Bombyx mori: one gene and its partners. The main gene of each other region encodes a partner of the protein of the gene in region 3 in a complex. Links are inferred from orthologs where the notes say so. Each region holds a gene or a part of one and is shown on either strand. Other genes may lie near its edges. The genes, in order: THO complex subunit 6, THO complex subunit 7 homolog and THO complex subunit 5 homolog.

What was found.
Region 1: THO complex subunit 5 homolog (region 3) and THO complex subunit 6 share a complex: the UniProt entries of both Drosophila melanogaster proteins name them as parts of the THO complex. The link is inferred for Bombyx mori from reciprocal best matches to the Drosophila melanogaster genes thoc5 and thoc6.
Region 2: THO complex subunit 5 homolog (region 3) and THO complex subunit 7 homolog share a complex: the UniProt entries of both Drosophila melanogaster proteins name them as parts of the THO complex. The link is inferred for Bombyx mori from reciprocal best matches to the Drosophila melanogaster genes thoc5 and thoc7.

Annotation. Positions count from the first base shown.
Region 1 is NC_085116.1:3,182,415-3,189,391, forward strand, and holds THO complex subunit 6, read right to left. Parts: upstream 3,901-6,977; 5' UTR 3,724-3,900; coding exon 3,620-3,723; intron 3,538-3,619; coding exon 3,148-3,537; intron 3,023-3,147; coding exon 2,860-3,022; intron 2,108-2,859; coding exon 1,787-2,107; 3' UTR 1,742-1,786; downstream 1-1,741. Other genes in the region: serine/arginine repetitive matrix protein 2, read left to right, coding at 4,730-4,968. UniProt on the Drosophila melanogaster protein: The THO complex is required for cell proliferation and for proper export of heat-shock mRNAs under heat stress.
Region 2 is NC_085129.1:4,005,975-4,012,502, reverse strand, and holds THO complex subunit 7 homolog, read right to left. Parts: upstream 3,484-6,528; 5' UTR 3,021-3,483; coding exon 3,011-3,020; intron 2,937-3,010; coding exon 2,813-2,936; intron 2,437-2,812; coding exon 1,962-2,436; 3' UTR 1,887-1,961; downstream 1-1,886. Other genes in the region: solute carrier family 35 member F1, read left to right, coding at 5,013-5,064, 5,440-5,807, 6,424-6,528. UniProt on the Drosophila melanogaster protein: The THO complex is required for cell proliferation and for proper export of heat-shock mRNAs under heat stress.
Region 3 is NC_085114.1:10,648,730-10,655,988, forward strand, and holds the start of THO complex subunit 5 homolog, read right to left. Parts: upstream 4,325-7,259; 5' UTR 4,257-4,324; intron 4,238-4,256; exon of another isoform or gene 3,972-4,237; intron 3,595-3,971; exon of another isoform or gene 2,984-3,594; intron 2,904-2,983; exon of another isoform or gene 2,890-2,903; 5' UTR 2,846-2,889; coding exon 2,747-2,845; intron 2,372-2,746; coding exon 2,234-2,371; intron 1,556-2,233; coding exon 1,265-1,555; intron 752-1,264; coding exon 412-751; intron 1-411. UniProt on the Drosophila melanogaster protein: The THO complex is required for cell proliferation and for proper export of heat-shock mRNAs under heat stress.

The DNA of each region.
Region 1 (6,977 bases), on a different chromosome or scaffold from region 3:
TTTTTTTTTTCGTTCAAAAAAGTTCACGAACGATTTATCTCCAGCGATTATTGGAGCGCATAAATATTATAATGTTGAAGTCTGAATTGCATTTTATGCCCTACGTATTCGTTGGTAACCTAAAAGGCTATTCCTGCTTCGTTGTGGCTGGTAGGTGAGGTTTATGGGGTTTACTAAAACTGGCCCGAGCAAGAGCAGTGCTTGGCACAATCTAGCACCAGATCAGGCAGAACTGGTGGCAGGACCTGTTGTGAGTCCGCGAGTAGGTACCACCACTCTGCCTATTTCTGCCGTGAAGCATTAATGCGTTTCGGTTTGAAGGGTGGGGCAGCCATTGTAAGTATATTTGGGACCTTAGAACTTAATCTCAAGGTGGGTGGCGCACTTACGTTGTGGATGTTTATGGGCTCCAGTAACCACTTAACACCAGGTGGGCTGTGAGCTCGTCCACCCAACCAAGCAATAAAAAATAAAAAAATCACAATTGGATTACAATAATGAACGCAACAAACTCCAACAAACTGTTTATACAATCAAAACGCTCAGTTTGTTCGCAACACGCCAAGAGTATGTTTAAATATATACATATACTAGCTGACCCGGCAAACTTTGTGTTACCTTAAATAAGATTTCTAGGGAAATTCTACAGTAGAAAAAAAAACCTCATTTAACCGCATAATACTTCATTATAAACGTTGATCGTAGAGGGGTGAAAATTTCAGAGTATAATGAATTTTTTTATTCTACGTCATGACAAAATAAAAACAAAATTCTCGCAAAAATTTTTAAAGTTTTTAATTAGCAAATAAAAATAAGGGTTGATCGTAGAGGGGTGAAAATTCAGGGTTGTATGTATTTTTGTATGTTGTATCATAAAAAAATAGAAATTAAAAATTTTGTATAAAAAATAAAATAAAAAATTTAGGGGTGGACTACCCCTAACATTTAGGGGGATGAAAAATAGATGTTGGCTGATTCTCATAGATACCGGATAAGCACAAAAAATTTCATCAAAATCGGTCAAGCCGTTTCGGAGGAGTATGGCAACGAAAACTGTGACACGAGAATTTTATATATTAGATAGATAAAACACCCAGACTAAGAGCAAACAAACCTGTTCATCACACAATGCTTGTCCAATGAAGGAATCGAACTAGTGATACCAATTAGACGTAAATAGGAGGCGATTGAACTTATGAGCTGTTTCAATTTGAGGCTGGAGCAAGTAACTATAATTTACACAAGTACCGACTGGGCGCAATTGGTTAAATATTGTTATCCAAAAAACTTTATTGATGTTTTAATGTTGCATACATGCATATTTTACATTGTCCATTAAAAGCTCAAAATATGTACAGGTGACTGAGAAAATGAAAAATTAAGTTATTTAAATATCCTAGAGTAAATTTTACTGAACTTATCATAATATTAGTAAATACTGTATATTAGTCGTCTATTATCAAAGGTGGCAATCTGTGCATTTGGACAAAAAAATGTTATTGATATGTCAATACAGATTGATTTGAATATAATAGTCTCCTTCAAAGAATACGGTTCAAAACCTGCATTAAATAAAGGTTAATACTTAACCTGTTATTTATCTAAGATGTCGCTCATAAGAGTTTTGTGACTACCAATGGAATACAAAGTCAATAATTCATTTTTCTGATTTACCAATAATTTTCCAAAAGTCACATTACCGGCTTTGATAATAGTCGACTCATATAATAAAACTTAGGTCTCGATTTAATTTCATTTAATTTTTTCCACCTAAATATGCTTATAACTATCGAAAATGTAAAACTTGATCTTTGTAATTAAGAGACGTGCACAAATCTATTTCTGGACTGGAACCGGCTAAACTTAACAGGGTGCTGTATTTAGTTCTTAGCACCGCACTGTATATGGTCGTGGCAGACACTGGTAGTTCTACTCTCACCTCACCCGAGTAGCTCATTTGGTAAAAATGTTTAGAAGTACCACCGGCAAACACACAGTCATCATGAAAGAATGACACATGAATCCCATTGTCTGGAATGTCAAAGACTGTCACTGCATCTAATGAACGAAGGTGCCACAGAGACAATCGAGGTCCACCACCGCATACCTGTAAATTTTTTATATATTCCATTATTAATTATCACCCAGGTGTTAAGTGGTTACCAGAGCCCATAGACATCAGTACGTTGTAGATGTCTATGGGCTCTAGTAACCACTTAACACCAAGTGAGCTGTGAGCTCGTCCACAATCTAAGCAATAAAAAAAATTCTACAATGTAAATGCGCCATCCATCTTGAGATATAAGTTCTAAGGTCTCAGTATAGTTACAACGGCTACCCCACCCTTCAAACCGAAACACATTACTGCTTCACTGCAGAAATAGACAGGGTGATGGTACCTACCCGTGCAGACTCACAAGAGGTCTTACCACCAGTAATTATGCAAATTATAATTTTGCAGGTTTGAGTTTCATTACACAATGTTATTCCTTCACCGTGAAATCAATTGTGAACATTGGTCAAGTACGTATTTCATTAGAAAAATTGATACCTGGCTTGTGGGATTCTAACATTGTTGCATTGCTAGATATGATTGCACCGGACATCTTATCCTTTAGGCCACAACGACTTCGACACAACTTTCCTTAGGAATGCTATTGATGGCTTAAGAGGGTTTTAAATAAAATAAATCGCCTTTTACAACACACACAGAAAAATATCAGTCACAATATTATTATGTAAATTCCCTATTAAACAAAAATAATTTTTTCACTGATTTTCATTTTTGTTTTTATTTTCACCTCTGGCATTTTAATGATAATATGTATGAATAATTAGATTGATGATAGATGAACTTACAATCCAGTCATCTCCAAGAGCTGCTGAGCCAATCCACTTGCCAATATCAGGTCTGCTGACCTTATTATTAGTGTGCGGTTCCAATTTATTGTGTGATTTTCCACTTCTAGTATCCCAAAGCATAACCAAACCATCTTCGCCTGCTGAAATAATCTGTTGGTTTCTGAAATTTTTTTTTAAATAACTTCTTTATTACTGTAATATTAGCCATAAGCATATATGTATATCACTGTCAGGGCAAATATATTAGCAGCTGAAATAAGGCAAATAAACAAACAAACAACTTACTTTCCATGAATAGAATGAATAAAATTATTATGTCCCTTATAAGTTGAAATAAGGCTCCCATCTTCCAAATTAAACACATACACATTATTGTCTCCACAACCAGCATACAGCTTCTCACTGTCTTGAGATAGCCACATGCAGTTCACATCGTTGTAGTCCAAAAAAGTTTGGGAAGGAATCTTTATGCTCCATACAGGTTTTGATAATTTAACAGAAACAACAGCCTTCCAGTCCCATCCGCATATTTCATTAACGGTACCAATTATAAGGAATTTTTCCGTTGAAACTAGACTACAAATCTGTTTTTTTGAATCTATAGAATGTATATGTTTTGGTTTGTTGTATTCAACAGATAATAATTCTAGTACTGGATTTAAAATACGATCTAGGCTGTAACAAAAATTTAGAATGAATTTATAAACCTCTCCAAATATTAAAATATACTTCTATAAATTTAATACAAATAACATACTCAAATACAGCAAGATCTCCATAAATATTGCCGGCCACTAAATATTTACCACACGGCGATAAAGTCTGAGATAAAACAGTGTTATACAACATTTTATTCAACATGGTAAAAGTTTTGTGTTTGCTCAGAAACTAGACTACTTCGTCAGTTTTTCTAGATGCCATGCAATATTTTAATTGAAAAAGAAACATAAACAACCATAGGTAAACAACACAATTTAAAGCTACATATAACCTCTATTTCGAATGCAGCGATTTTTTTGCGGCATACACTCTTTAGGCAAAGGGAACAGTGTCCATGCTCTATTTTAAAAAACCAAAATGATTTAGCTCTATAGCTCTTTATGACGAATTGAGATAAAATTAAGGCAAATTCACCCTGTATAAGAACAGAAATTTAGTAAGACCTAAGGTTATTTTTTTAACAAAGGAAGCTATATAGACGAAGCTATCTTTCCACAAATCAACTTAATAAATCACGTATTAATTTATTGACTCATTACTATTATAGGTTAGAAACATTTTAATAAAATGAAATAGGTACTTCACTTTACTCTTACTAAAACTCTTATTACACTATATTATTATGTACTCTTATCTAAAACAAAAATATTGTGGTTTTATTGACATTTGCCTAAGTTTCTTTTCATATATTTCATTTTGTTTGCCGAAAACTCATTAAATCATGTTACATGTATTATTTTTATTCAAAAATTATGCTTTTTATCTTATTGTTTAGCGATCTCAAAATAGAAAAGTTATTCTAAAGTTCCAATTGATTTGCTTGACTTTGTCATTGTCAGTTAAAAACTATAGATAAAATGAAACATCTAAATTCATAGCCATTTCGTTGTCTATGAATAATTCAATCTAAAAAAATCAAAACCAAGCAAGATGGTCGTGTTCAATTCTTTTTAAACATAAACATATAATCTAATAATATTGTGAGTTATTGATCATTAACGTTGATACATTTTTTGAAAGAGAAATTGTTATTTATAGATTATTTTACTAACTTTTCTGGGAGTTTCTAATCTCGTGGCCTAATTCAGAACCTTCAATTTGCACACCGTAAGTGTTACGATTGGTTTTAGGTATATAATACGAAATAATGTATAATGGGATCGGGTTGACGACGCCACGGGGCTCCGGTACAAATGGCTACGTACAGAGAAATTGGGCCACGGTAAGAAAAACAAAAGACTCCGTCAACTACCGGACTGAAGATGAGATCGCCAAGTTGGATTCGGCGTCAAACAAACAACCAAATAGAGAAATACTCGATCATGAGAGGAAAAGGAAGATTGAAGTCAAGTGTGCAGAGTTGGAAGATAGCCTGGAAGAACAAGGGTGAGTAGTTAGCATAAATACAACAAATACACAGAAATCGGATTCATGGTATTGGAGATTTGTTCCGGGGATGGTCTCTTAAATTTTTATGATATGAGGTTGGCACACGTTGGGCTTTATAAATCAACATTATTTTGTAATTCTTGCTACCTTTTTCAGGGTTTCCAATTATTATATATTTTTTTTCTAAATTTAATTTTGTTTGGTAATTTAATATTCATATTATTAGGCTTTTTCTTCATATTTCAAGGAAACCGTGATTACTTTAACAACTATGACAGTCTGCTAATAATATTACTAATGAGTTATAATAACTGATGATAGCAGTAGGTAATCATAGGAAATTTTATGTGCTGTGAGTTTTTGTTTGTTATCAATTGCCAATATTTGGATGATGGTATTGTTGTTCATTGAAATTATACTACTACTTCATAATCTTCTATTCATAGCCATCAAACTTAGGCAAAAATACTGTAGTTTTAAAGTTTGATTCTAACATTTAATTTGCCATAAAGATGTGTTCTGCTACACAGATAATGTTAGTAATCAACGAATATGGATAGAAAAGGTATGGAATAAGTATAATATTTTAAATACCGCCATAATTGCTAATTATTTAAACATTTATTTTGCATAGAAATTTATAATCAATAACAAACCACATATTGCCATTTAGCATCAAACTAAAGTTCCCAGTGCTGTGGCTACTAAAGACTATTTATACAAAGTGTATTGAACTAAATACAAATAACACTTAAACATAAAACAAAACTTATTAATTATGCAAATGCTTGCCTCAATTGATCAAACCCATGATCCTTGGCCATGCAGTCAGGGACAAATGTTTGCCTCAATTGATCAAACCCATGATCTTTGGCCATGCAGTCAGGGACATATGCATTGTGCCGCTGAGTCAGCCAATAAGGCACCAATGTGTCCAGTGAGCCAATTTTTTTTTGCTCTTCTGAATCTGCAATCAATGTAACCAGATAAACTAATGCTATAAACAGGAATGAAGAGTCACCTGCTGATTGATAGTCTCTACCAATAATCATCAATATTTAGAGTCACATTCTTTGATCCAGTCGGAATATTACATGTTTCTGAATACTTAAAGAGCCATGTGTGTCTGGCTTACACAAGGTTGTGTGCTAGTTGGTTTTGATGATTTTTATGTTGCCTACTATAGGTACATAAAAGAGCAGGTCGAAAATCATCTAATATAGTCTATTAAACACTTTGAAAAATGTAAAGATAGAATAAGAAGCATAGCTTCAAAATTGAATATCATTTCAGAGGCTTTGGATTGTTTTGTAGACCAGAAGCTAATTTTCTAGGGAGAGTTTTGATTTTCTGTCCAGAAGCCAGTACAGCTTTCTAAATCTGAACTTCAACTTACCTCTTGGCTTTAAATGGGCTTTCCCAGATAATTTGCAATCCCAATGCATGTCCTCATACTTAATTGACTCAGAGGTGGACAGAGTTTCACCTGAAAGAATCTCTGTAGGGCAGTTAGTTACCCCATCTGTGAATAAACAGCCAGTATAAATCAATTTTTTACTCATAAAATTATTTGAAATAATTATCAGACACCTTAAACAAACTACACCATAACTTGACTATTGTCATCTACAAGGTCATCACAGGGAAGGAAATAATGTAAAGATGATTAATGAAATGATACGGAACTCTCTTTGCTTTGATAAAATTTTGACTGTTTTTATTTTTTATTTTTTATTGCTATCTCTTATCCACACCATCCAACAATTAGAACATGAAGGAGACAATCTACGATCGGATCAACAAAATTGTCCAATTGAATACGTCCAATGCAGCCAGTCCATGTTTACTCTTAAAGCTAGGCCTAAATTTGATATCCTTGTTTCACTGGCACACTGAATATTTTTATTTATTTCAATATATTTTTCTTTTAAAGTGTACAATATCGATAATTTAGTTCATTTTGAAATTAGATTTCCTCTGTTCTTTTTAAAAAAAAAACACAGGTT
Region 2 (6,528 bases), on a different chromosome or scaffold from region 3:
TACCTTTTTCCTTAGGAAATTTGGTCTAACCTGCGGCATTTGAACACTGACATAATCGTATGCGTATGAGTATCACGAATATAGTGCTTCAAGGATGCAAGATTGCGGTAGCAACTTAACTGCTAATCAATGTCTAAAATCAGCCGTTAATAATTGACTTTAATAAAAAAAGTCGTTCCATTACTTCTGTATCTATTTTAAATCCTATTATACATATATAAAAAATTTAAGAAAAAAAAGTCGAATTGAGAACATCTTCCTTTTTTGAAGTCGGTTAAAAACAAGTGAATTATTCGTAAGAGTAAAAAATACACAGAATTTTAGTTACGGGCCGGAATATTAAATTACATTCGGGGTGTTTGTGCGCGTTAATGTTGTTAGTACAGGACCTTTTCTAGACTCCGGGGTGTACCTTAAATCATTATTTAGGTAAATACTCGTATACATAAATATATTATACATATACTACATATACTATACCTACTTAGTACCTGCGCTTAATGAGGCTTTCGACACGCAACACAGATTAGGTCTGTTGCGAACTTAACTACTCTAACTCTGCTGTTTCACCTTGAAATAATTGTAGTATATTATTCAGTTTTTGCCCCATAGACACAGCCCACTGAGTTTCTCGCCGGACCTTCTCAATGGATCGCAATCAGGTCGTGAATTCAGCGAAGCACTACTCTTGCTAAAGCTAGTGTTAGCCAATTCTCTCGGATTGAGCCTGTGAGCTCACCGAACCGTCCGCACTTAGCTGGAATAGCTTCTTAAGCTTTCAGCGAATAGGCAGAGAAAAGTTTTCGCGAATCGCAGACACAACTACAACTACTTTTAAGGTTTAATCTGACTTTTTTCTGTTATTATACTATTTCCTATGTTTCGAAGATTTACAGCCTTAGTGGTCACGGTCTACTGACGATTATAAAGCACTTTATTGATGACAAATTAATTTAAACCATTTAATGTTTGCTTAAATAGGGCGTGTTTTCTATTTATTGGTGTACATCGTCCAAAGAATTTACGATCTATCTAGTGTTAAGCGGTTGTAGTTCTGAATGGATGGTAGCCATTTGGCTGTCCCTATGGCGTTGTAAAGACCACAAACGACGGAACACTTTTTAACAATTAATCATATATCTCGATCACCACCGGTTAGCTTTTTTATTGGAAGTTTGGTATTCTATTATAAATTTTTTGCTATTTCTTTCAACCAGATATTTTCTGGGATTTTTGATGTGACAACACTTTCACGACTTGATTACATACCGTAGGTAAACCTTATAGAAACCATTTAAAACAAAAAAAAGGTATTTGCGATTCATAATTTAATGTTTGCATTAGATCACTATGTAGTGTGACTTTTGGACAAGTCATGAAAACAACAAAGGATCTACCAGGCAAAGCCTAGCTAAACTATCCTAATCCTAAACCTAGGACTTTAACCTACATCTAAACCTAATCCTAAACCTAAGAATCCTCGCAACGAAAAAGATCGGACCATACCTCTGGGAATGTCGCCCAGAGGATCCCGTGATCCGCCACCCACGGACGCGCCTGGTGGAAGTCCAGCATCTCCCCCGCAGACGAGACCCACAGCACGCAATCATTGCGGGCTGAAGGTCCCGTCCAGATCGCGGGCCCCTACGTAACCTGATTCAACCCCAAAGCCAAGGTGAATGGGGTCAAGCTATTTTTTTCAGTTTTTGTGTATTTTTGTAGTGAACAATGTATAGTAACGCATTGTATATAAATATTTAAGCCTCCAGAACCATTATGATCTCCGTTTTATTACTAAAACAAAAAAAAACTATACAAATCAATGTCGAACTTAAAAAGTGTCCCAATTCTCCCCATTTTACAGTACTGAAAATGTAAACAAAAAATCAAGTAGAAAATTCATACTTTATTAGAAATCTCACATAGAGAAATAATCTTATACTCTAATACATCACTCATTATTATGATTCATTTGATATTTCTTTCATATCAACATCATCACAAATAGTCTCTGCATCATCTAGTTCATCTAATAATGCTTGTAATTGATGTATTGAAGTTACAAGCACATGAAATTGTTTCTTTCGTAATGCTAACCGACTTTCCAATTGCTGTTTGGTGGTTTCCAAGTTTGCTAGTTCAGTCTTCAGAGTGCTCAATCTCTCAGAGGTTTCCTTACGATCAGGCTGTTCACTGATAACCTTAGCCAAGACATCATATTCTATTCTGTTTTTTCTGACAGTCTTTGCTTGTGCTAAATCTGTTTTGCTCTTCTGTATGTTCTCTTTGGCCACCTCTATTCCGCTTTCTAGAATTTTCGAGAGTGCTTCGTAGCTTTTTAATTCAGCAGCCATCATTTCAGAACCGAGTTGCGATTTTGTGACAGCAAATTCGCATTGTGCCAGTTGAGCTAACATACGATCATGAGTAGCTTTACTAAAACGAGAAATCTTAATCGTATTACATATTCTGGAACTACAAAAACTTACATTTTGACTGCAGATTTTTATTCTCATAATAAAACAACAAATGTATATGGGGAATAAATGAAAAGGTTAATGAACACTTAATTGAATATTAAGGCTCTTTATTATAGATAAACAGATGCCAACATTTCCCTGCTGGTATTAAATGCTTACCAGAACCTTTGGGACACGAGATAGAAGTTTCAATTGAATTTACAATGGCAATTCTACCCTTCAAATTGGAAGCTATGATCAATGCGGAAGCTATGATAATTCGGAAGTGGAACAGTGTTTACGCATGTGAGCTCACAATACGTCCTAATACGGTACTATTTATTAAAACCAACCTTTCTTCCGGTTTGTCATCCGTTGTATTGCACCATTTTATCAAAGTTTTTAAAAGTACATTCAGTCTCCTGTCGTCTCCAGTACCGTCACCGTCGATCAGAAGTCTTCTACGAATCACATCTTCTGGAAATAACCAATGAGTATTGAAATAGTATTTGTTTTTGAGTAGTTTTGTATTCTTAGGTAAAGTTATTTACCGTCACCCATTATGTTTGGAGTAAAATTCAAATGAAATTATGATCTCGTCCGAGTTTGCCTTATAAATTGTTAGGTAATGTTTTTATTCTACAAAATAATCTTATCATAAGCGAATTCAAATTTATCCTTGTTCTTTATATGTAAGTGCTAACTTGTGTGTTTTATTTACAAAAATCAAGAAAAATTAAAAATATTTTATCTCCAAATTTTGGCAGGTTAAATTATTAATAAAAAAAAAGTTTTTTTTATCCAACTCATAGGCAAAGGAGACATTCTCATAAGTTAAAAATGCTCTTCTTTTTATCTAAATATTTTACGACAAAGCCTGAAATCATATCTGTTGCATAAAAAATGAAATGATATAAATAAGACGATAACTATTTTTATATTTAAAGATGAAGAAAACTAAACTAAATAAAACATTCACACAGTATTACAACTTTACTATTTCACATTCCTGTCAAAATTGATTGAAACAAAATTGCTGACCGTGGTTTCTTGAGATCTCAAAATTTAATTGAACGCTGATTAAATTCTTAAGATTTTAAGAACACAAAGCTTAACCTTTTTATTTTAATTAAAAGATTTTGATCGGCTATTTTCCCTTTGCTCATTCAATGGACGAAAGAAAACCACAGACTATTATGAGATGCCTGCCAAACAAGAAAAAAAAACAGATGTCACAACCACAATTCACATGTTGTTTTGCCTTTCGAATTTCGATCCATTGTTCAGGAAATGATGAATAACTGCTATATTAAACCCTTTAAACTATTGAATCTATTTTAACAGTAAATTAGCTGAGTAAACTTTCGGAATATCTTTCACTGAAACAATGGAAACGTCAAGTTTCAGTGATAAAGTCGAGATTTATTTCTCGGAACTTGGGCGATGGCTAGTATCAATAAATAAATAAATAAAATATTTTTTGGGTAAACGTCCTTAAACTAACTAAGTGTGCATTTTCAGGAAAGTGTGGAGGAGCATACTGCTTGGTCAAGTGTTATCCTTATTTCTGAGCGGCAAATGTATATTAACAACAATGTTACAAAGCGCAACCTGGCAGTTTCCTATCACGGGGCAGCTGGTCGTGCCGTATTTAGTACTGTTTGTACTCTTTACCCCGAGCCTACTTTGTACCGGGCTGGAGAAGCTAACGAAGTAAGTTCCAATTCAATTTTAAGACATGAAAAATATCGTCTTTTAAACCAGTTCTATTATTGAAAGAAGTATAAGACAAGACTAAAATAATTAAACTTACTAGGTACTATTACTATCTTATGTTCAATGGTGAGTGCGCTAAGTTTTCTTAATATCTTCTTACTACAAATGTGGAAGTAACCAATATTTAAATCTAACTATAAAATGTTACATTTATCGAGATAATTTTCTCTTATTCTTTTGCTTTGGGATAACTTCCCGCTCTACTCTTTTTATTAGTCAGCAAAATAAAGTATAAAAACATTTCTTAATTCAAGCTAGTATCAGCTGTGACATGTTGGAAAGCTCTGTGCATTCTGTTGTGTGTTTTGCTTTTTTCTTTATTAATACAAGAAATGGAATGGTAGCTGGCCTAATTAACCTTTAAATTTTCAATGTTCAATTCAAAGATGACTGTCTGAATAGATAGTTAAATAAAAAAGTAAATGTTAAATAATAATCAAGTATTTCTACTTAAAAAAGAGATGAAACAAAAAAATAATTACATACCTAGGTATAGAAATCATGTATTTCATTTCAATAAAAGATTCCATATTTAGTAGTTAATTGGGCAATGCAACTAATGAAATGAATTTTGTTGTTAGAAGATGGTGGGTACTCATCATTGCCTGTGTTCTTGACGTGGAAGCTGGCTGGCTGCTAGTCATGTCACAGAGGTTTACATCAGTGTTGAGCTGACAGCTGTTAGCATGCAGTGGTGTTGGTGCAGCACTGGTCGGTGGTGCTTGGAGTGGTCAGAGACTTGGTGTTTCTCATGTTGCTGGAGCCACCCTTGGCCTGATGGCTGTAGTCTGCGTTGTGTGGGCTGATGTTGAGGGTGCTCCTACTGATGGTAACATTCTTTCATTCTTAGGTAGATTGGTAACATTTTTATTGATGTCCCTGATGAGTGAATCTAATTAGACAATAAACACACAGTAGAGTGGTTACTGTTATAAAGTGGTTACCAGGTTATACTAGTGCAATGCCAACTTAAGTTGTCCTAGCTTTTGCTAGCATAATTGAATATTACTTTAAATTGCTTGGAAAATAATTTAATTACTTTGATTGGAGTAATATTTTTTTGTGTATTACAATGTTTTTGTCGTAATTAATAATGTAATTGAAGTACTTGTTGTGTTTATTTGATGCATGTGTACCCTTTATTAAATCATGCAGTTACTGAAATAAGTTAAAATATTCTGAAAATGAATTTGATATTTTTCAGGTAAAAATCAACTAGTAGGCGATATGCTATGCCTTGGTGGATCATTATTGTTTGCAACAGTCACAGTGCTTCAAGAACTGATGCTCAAAACTCATACATGCTCAGACTATTTAGCGATCCTCGGTATTGTGGGTAGCTTTGTATCTTGCACTCAAACATTCTTTCTGGAATTCCTTGAATTGATGAACTTTAACTGGTATGAGTTAGAGACGATTGTGCAATTGGGAAGCTACTGCACAGTACAAACAATATTCCAGATATTACAATGTTTTATGCTGAGAGATGCTGGGTCTATTTTATTGCATCTATCATTCCTGTCTGCTGACTATTACACTGTGATCGCTGGCATGTATATATTTCAGTTTAAGGTAAGTTTAACTATCCATATTAATTTATAATTAGTGTTAGATAAGAATTCAATAATATGTATGTTATGAATGTATGTTAAAGATGGTTAAACTATATACTACAATGCCAAAAAATGTTGCTCCATTTACATTTGAGAATTTTACTTGAAATTGCTTTAAAATAGTGGCTATCTTATCAAACCAGAACACCCAGTACTTCTCTGCCGTGCAATGTCAAATGATTCCTCCAATTCACCCAGGATCAAAATCACTAGTTTCCCTACATTATAGATTATTAGTGAAATAAGATAAATGTTTTAAAAAGTCAGAGCAAAGTAATCATGTTATTGATGTTTAATTGAATATGCAATTTTGAAAAGGGCACATCTCTGAAAATGTAAAATGTTCAGGAAATGAAAAAAAAAACTGATTCTTTTCTCAAGCAGTGTAAAATTTTAAATATTAACTTTTGAGATATATTTTAGTGTTAATTAGCAATTAAAAATTACGGGAATTATTATAAAATGGGTGTAGGTAAGCCTCAAAACTACATGTGTATAAAAAAAAACGTATTTGACATGTGCCCTTTTCGAAATTGCATATTGAATTATATTGAATAATTATTATATTGTTACAGTTCCACGCTCTATATTTCCTATCATATTTACTGGCGATGGTTGGAGTGTTTCTATTCAGCAGTCGCTCTACGTCGACGCCAGAGCCAACTCCCCCTGAACGTCTG
Region 3 (7,259 bases):
CCGGTCTCTTACCCCCATCGACCGGGTATCCGTAAATGGATTCCCCAGCGTTAAAAAAAAAAAAGGTGAGCTCATGGGACTTTATCCTAAGGAGTTTTCCAACACTAGCCCTAGCAGGCCTGCTTCGCTGTCTACCACCGGATCGGAAACGCGACCTATTGAAAAGATCCGGCGAGAAACTCAGTGGGCTGTGTCTTAGGGTTAATTTGCTCCGTAAGCTCTTTGTCGCAAGCGACGGGTTTGACGAGAACGATGACCGATGCATGGGGTACCTAACTGCACCGATAGTGGATCGGGGGATCCGAAATGGCGTGTTTAGGACGACTGTTTACCCTTTGCTCTGCTGAATTGGGTATGTAAATCTATGAACTTTAAGATGCAATGAATATTTTGAGCTTTGAAATTGCTTACCAACACTAATAACTTTGCTTCCTAAAATATCAGAATATGCGTTTGCATTTTTAAATAGTAGGAATAGTGATGCTGGAAGCAAGCTTGCGGCCCTGGCTTCATCACGTTTTTCATCCAAGCGTAGAGCAAGACATTCTTGCAAAGGTTTAGTGGATTTCAAGACATCTTTCAGATGTGGAGCCAATGCATCAAGTCTAGAACGTGCAGCAGCAATGGCAGCTGCTACTCGTTCCTTGGAAGATATGAGTTCATTACAGGCTTCAGATAATTCACGACGTTGACGTAACTCCCACTCCAGTCGGGCTAATTGTAATTGATGTTCATCAGCCTTTGTGACCTCCTAAAATTTTACACATTGTCATATTGTTGAATTTGTCAGTACCATTACTGCAACAACTCATCTGATCAGTATCAAAGTTACAAGTACTCAGTATCAAGTGTCTGAGATATGTGTGGAATATGTCATATGTATATTTGTAAGGGGAAACAATGTGAATCATATGACTGGCACCCTCACCAGGACAGATTAAAAGCAGTCATACTTCTGTCATGCCTAACTTTCTACTAACCGTTATGATGCTACTCAGCACGATAGCGCTTTAATGTATAAAATGACAATTGGGATGCAATGCTATCGCCCAAAAACTTAGGTAAGCTCTTGGTCCTGAGTGCATGTATATGTTTTGAACTGTTTATATTATTGCAATTCAAGTTTGGCTTCAATATTTAAAAGAAATTCAGGATTTTAGCTACCTACAGCATTTTAGGGACAAAACTAAAAAAATATTCAGAGCTGAAACGGTTAAAATATGTACATTCAGATATCAGTTACACACTGTGAAAACATACTTACTGATCTAATAATATCAGGAGGTGCATTTTTATAGAATTCTTCAAGAGGCACAAGATCTATTTCTTCATCTTTAGATTTGAATTGTAAACATTTAGTTACTTCTTTGTTTAAGTGATCTGCTTCGTAAAGTAAATTTTGTAACAGTAAATGTGTGGAATCAACTCTCTGTTTCTCTTTATGGAGCGCATCACGACCAGCTCTAGTTCGTACTTTCTCCAGGCGATTTAATTTCTTTAACGCAACCAGCAGTAATGAAGCTTCCACTCTTTTTGCATTTATCTTTTCTTTAGCCTGTAATTATAACTTTTGCCTTAATTGCATTGTTCCATATTTTATATTATTTAACATTAATTACAATTCATAATATAATCTAATCATGTCCATTTTTTTTTTTTATTTGTCGAGCCGGGTGCCGAACCTCCTACGAGGTCCCCGCGTCTAGGGGGGTGTGGGACTTTACGATCTGGTAGTCAACACTACAACCAGACACGCGACGCCACCCTGAAGACGCCGGATCGACGAGTCCTCAATGCGACAGTCGACGACAACGAAGCCGGTCTCCGCGGTACGACAGCCCTGCCAGGCCGCCCGGGCGATGCCGCTGGTGTTCCGGGATACCCAGCTGGACCAGAACCAGCCTGCCGGGTCAGAACGCGATACTCCTGCAGACGACGAAGGCCACCCATACACAGGAAAGATGTCCCTCCCCCGGGTAACGACCAAAGTGTCGTCCGTGTAACAAGCTACGCTCAGACCCGGGAGAGGAGTGCTAAGGGCACCCCGCAGGACCCAGTTCGTAGCCGACATTCCACAAGAGAGGGCCAAGGACCGACCCCTGTGGGACACCACGCTCGACGGGAAAATGGAGCACCGCCCCACAGTGCCCGGTGCACACGGCCATCCTGTTCTCGAGGTAGGACCCGACTCTTATTATGTCCTGCATTAACTATTAATTGAAAAGTGGCATACCTCCAATGTTTCTTTAGTTTTTAACTCTGCAATCTCTTTAAAAAGTTGCCTTATGTCTTGGCATGTTTTATTGAAAAAGGCAGCATCCTTATCAGCTGGACGCAGATGAGCTTCAGCTTCTTCAAATTCAACAACACGCTGGAACAATCCATTTAAAACACATTTTGTAATGAATGAAGAATCTTGAAAAATAAAGACAATTTTTTTGGTGTACTGGGATCTTGTTCAGTTTACAACTTCTCTAAGTGTTAATATTAAACTTGTTTTGAAGATCACAAGATATTTCACGAACAGGATTCACTTAATTTTTATTTTTGTTAATAATAAGTTAAAACTGAAACAAAAACTTCAACAGAAAATATAAAAGCAACAGCTTGCTAAACCAGGAGCCACAAATATAAATTCTCATTTATTAGTAGAACTATGTACTTAAATTTACATTATTATACATATTTATGGTACAGAATAATGAGTCTTGAGGTTATGTTACATCTTATATATTTTGGTCAATACCTTGTATACATCAACGGGAACTGGCTTTGTTCCGTCATTTGATGTACTTGTATTTAATTTGCGCCGTTTCTTAACAGCCGTTACTTCTTCTTTTCCCATGTTTAGTTTTATTCAAGTTTATCAGATTTCATCCAAGTCTGGAACTTTAAAAAAATCACTAATTTAAACAGACAATTACAACCTTACTGCCTATTCACTCTATTCACTGGATTTGTTTTTATATATTAAAGCTTTTACTAGCATCGTTCACGGTAATGTTTGAATTATTTTTCTTTTAATGTTAGCCTTTAATTTGAAAGGTAGTCTTTAACTATGATTTTTTTTAAATTATACTTCATTATTGTACCTACTCAGCAATAGACATGCGTAGTTCCGGACCTAAATAGTTCCTGGAACTATGTCCTCATATGGAACTATATCATTCAATCCGAGTTGTCAAAATTAACATGTTCAGACAGTTCCATTTCCATTCCAAGTGTACTGTTATGCAGGAACTACGAACGCGTTGAACATGACGGACATGCGGACATGATTAGAGCATAGGTACCGCGCGGCGCGGAGGCGTGGCGCGGCGAGTCCACCCGAACGAGTCTCGAACCGACACGAGTCCACGTAAAGAGATAAGGCGACATATGGCACGAATACGAGAGAGTGAGATGGAGCGAGTGCATGAAACTGCGTGTGGAGCTCTTTCATATTACATTTTTATTAATATTGAAGTTATGCTCTACGACCTACGTGTTACAGTCGATAGTTGAATAAATTAAAATGTTTTGCTATGGATTTTGACCTTGACCATGCATCATTCCTACGAGCACTTAACCTTAAGTGTTTGTAGACCATTTCTTAGAAAATCATAATTCAAAATTCGAGAATTTTAAAACATTCACCACTTTCGCTATTCGGTATCTCGGTTATGGGAAAAAGGTTGTAAGGCTACAACGAGCTCAATTTACGTTGTATATCAGAATAACGTGGTATTTTAATTAACAACTGATAGGTTATAGTTTTCGGTGCATCGTACAATACCTACATTGAAAAATAATGAAAGTAGTAGAGTAGTTGAAATTATGACAAAGTAATTACAGTACATTAATAAATTATGCAACCAGCTGTAACAATGAACCTAAAACTAAAAACCTTACAAAATAATATTACAATAATAATTGCCATAAGCGGCAATCTATTTTTATATAGTGCTTTTAAAAAATTGTATTTTTAATACCTTTTTTGAAAAATATTGTGTAATTAATAATAACTTAATACGTGATTCGCTACACTACAAACAGTTACTAGACTTAACATGTCCGCGGAACTAAACAGCTTCAAACAGCTACTAGACTTAATATGTCCGCGGAACTAAACAGCTACAAACTACAAACAGCTACTAGACTTAACATGTTCGTGAAACTAAACAGTTCCGCGAACATGTTTACTGGAACTAGTTCCGACACTCAAAAGAACGATGTCATGTTCAATCCAGTTCCGAACATGATTAGCGCACGTCTACTCAGCAATAGCAACTCTCCATAAATGTCAGTAAATGTCAGTTAAGCATCCTCAAATATTACCTATGTGATAATCTATGTGTGCATCTCTCAGCTCATAGATTTCGACTTTTTGGCGGGAATGCGAGGAGTGAAGCTGTGTGATATGTTTTATTTTGTCTATTTGGTATTTCTTCAGGTTTGAATGTATGATAATGGTGGTTTATTACCTGTTTAGTATTTGCGAAAGGGCACAAATGTGGGAAAATGAAACAAAGTCGCTAGACGTAACTCCTCGGGATCCTCCAAAAAGTCCACTGAAAGAATCTCAGTAAATGACCACCATTTTACTGAGATCATAAATATTTCATCCCATATCATCTCATTTCATTTAATTTCATCCCAGTTGATTAGTTATCTAGTTTATTTTATATAAAATGACTATGATCCCTTTGCCTCTTTAAGTACACAAAACAAAGGACATTTGTTTTTGCTTTCCACCTTGAGAAGGTCAAAAATATCACTGCTGTAATCGCGCCAGCAACCAAATCCTTATATTTTGCCAAACCCGGCTTGTAAGGTGCAATTTTGTTAAATAAGGATATCGCTTAATTTAAGGTTTGTAATTTATTATTATTATGATGTGTATGGATTACAAAAAAGTGGAGTAGTGCAAAAATTTTCAATACAAAAAAATTAGATGCCGATCATTAGCCATCCAATTTTACGTAAATTTCATTGTATCCGTTGAAAATGACTAATTCTTAAACCCCGTGAGCGCAATGAATTTGTAATAAACATTTTAAATCAAAAAATATTTTAAAGTAGGAATTATGATTGTACAACCTATGTTTGACCTTGCCGGCGCATCTCATTCGATTAGCGTTAGCAATAGAAGTAAAAGTAATAGAATTAATCCTTTAATACCCTCAATCGATACAATAAATCTTTTTGCAGTATTCAAGGTAAGTCTCGTGACTAGGCTGTGTGCTTTGGAAATCAGAAGTAGTAATAAGTTGAAATAATGGGGTGTTTTATTAAGCAAATAAGAGTGTCAAGATCCTAAATGGGAAATTGGTGGTTGTATTTTAGGTCTCGGTGGTTCTATGTCTAAGATTTTAAAGGTTGCGTAAATTGCTGGATGTGGGCTATGTAAGACCAGTCATTGTGGTAAACCTTGCTTATATACAGCAGTAAATTTCTGTGGGCTGATGATCCTGAGGTCACTGGGTTTAAATCATACTTTCAATTTAATGACTTGTCCCATACATTTCTATCAACAGATGAACAAAAAAGATATCTGAAAAAATTGAAACTAAATTGCCAAATCTAAAATTCACATATACTAAGCATTATATAGAAATACAATAAAATAGTAATTTTGTATTGATTTAACCTTTAGGATCTATTAAAAATTAGTTTTTTGAGATTGAGATTGCAAGTTTTTTTCTGAACTAAATGAAAATTCAAAATTTCCATCAATTTTACACATCTTTTATTTTTGTAAATTGGACAAAGTCATTTGTCCTTTTATCAAGATAGATATACCGGTATACTTTAAGTGTCTTAACCATGTTGATGGGGCATGATGACTTCTAAACTACTGCCAGTGCTCTCCAAATAAAATGAAAAATTTTTTTTTTTCTAGAAAGTCTAGTTCAGTATTAAAAATGGTAATAAAATCAATCAAGGCTCGTCAAATCTTTGACTCTCGTGGCAACCCTACTGTGGAAGTTGATCTGGTAAGTTTTTTGTTACAAATTATCAACAACTAAATTACTGAAATTCTTTGAAAAATGTAAAGTACCTTTTAATTCTGTGAACAGGTAACAGAGCTTGGCTTGTTCCGGGCAGCTGTACCCTCTGGTGCATCCACTGGTGTTCATGAAGCTCTTGAACTAAGAGATAACATCAAGAGTGAATATCATGGCAAGGGAGTTTTGACCGCAATCAAAAATATCAATGAACTCATTGCTCCTGAACTTACAAAAGCCAACCTCGAAGTAACCCAACAGAGAGAGGTAATTATTTTTAAATCTCAAACAAGAGTAGATATTTCGAAAGGACTCAAAAAAAACTTGAGTGTGGTATTAACATTCAATTGAAGTGGAATTAATATTGATAGGATTTTCATATTAACAAGAAATGTATTTAATAGTTTAAAAATAATATTAAATATATTTAAAAAAGTATATGTCAGCTATGTAAACCTTTTAAATTAACAGATTGATGAACTCATGCTTAAGTTGGATGGCACTGAGAACAAATCCAAACTGGGTGCTAATGCTATCCTTGGAGTTTCCCTAGCTGTTGCTAAGGCTGGTGCTGCCAAGAAGAATGTTCCGCTGTACAAGCACTTGGCTGATTTGGCTGGAAATAATGACATTGTTCTACCTGTACCAGCATTCAATGTGATCAATGGAGGATCACATGCTGGAAATAAACTTGCCATGCAGGAATTCATGATTTTCCCTACAGGTAATTTAATTTTTTAAATTATTAGTGGTAGGACTTCTTGTAAGTCAGAATGGATAGGTACCACCAGTCTTCCTGCTATATATGCCGTGAAGGCGTAAAGCATTTCTATTCGTAAGGTGGGGCAGCCATTATACTATAAATTGAGACTTAGAACTAATGCCTCAAGGTTGTTATTTTACCACTTAAAACCAGCTGGGCTGTGAGCTAGTTCACCCATCTACGCAATAAAAAAATCATTGGTTCCAAAATAACATGTCAAGATATGAAGAAAGCCAAAGATCAGTCTCAGTAATAAAACTGGGGAGAGGCCAATATACAGCTATTGAAAACTGTGGGCTGATCATAATGCAGTTCCAAATTAAGTAAATAAATTGACTTCAAAATGAAAATATCATTTTAACAGGGGCATCCACCTTCAGTGAAGCCATGAGGATGGGTTCAGAAGTGTACCACCATTTGAAAAAGATCATTAAGGAGAAGTTTGGATTGGACTCTACGGCTGTTGGTGATGAAGGTGGTTTCGCTCCAAACATACAAAACAACAAGGA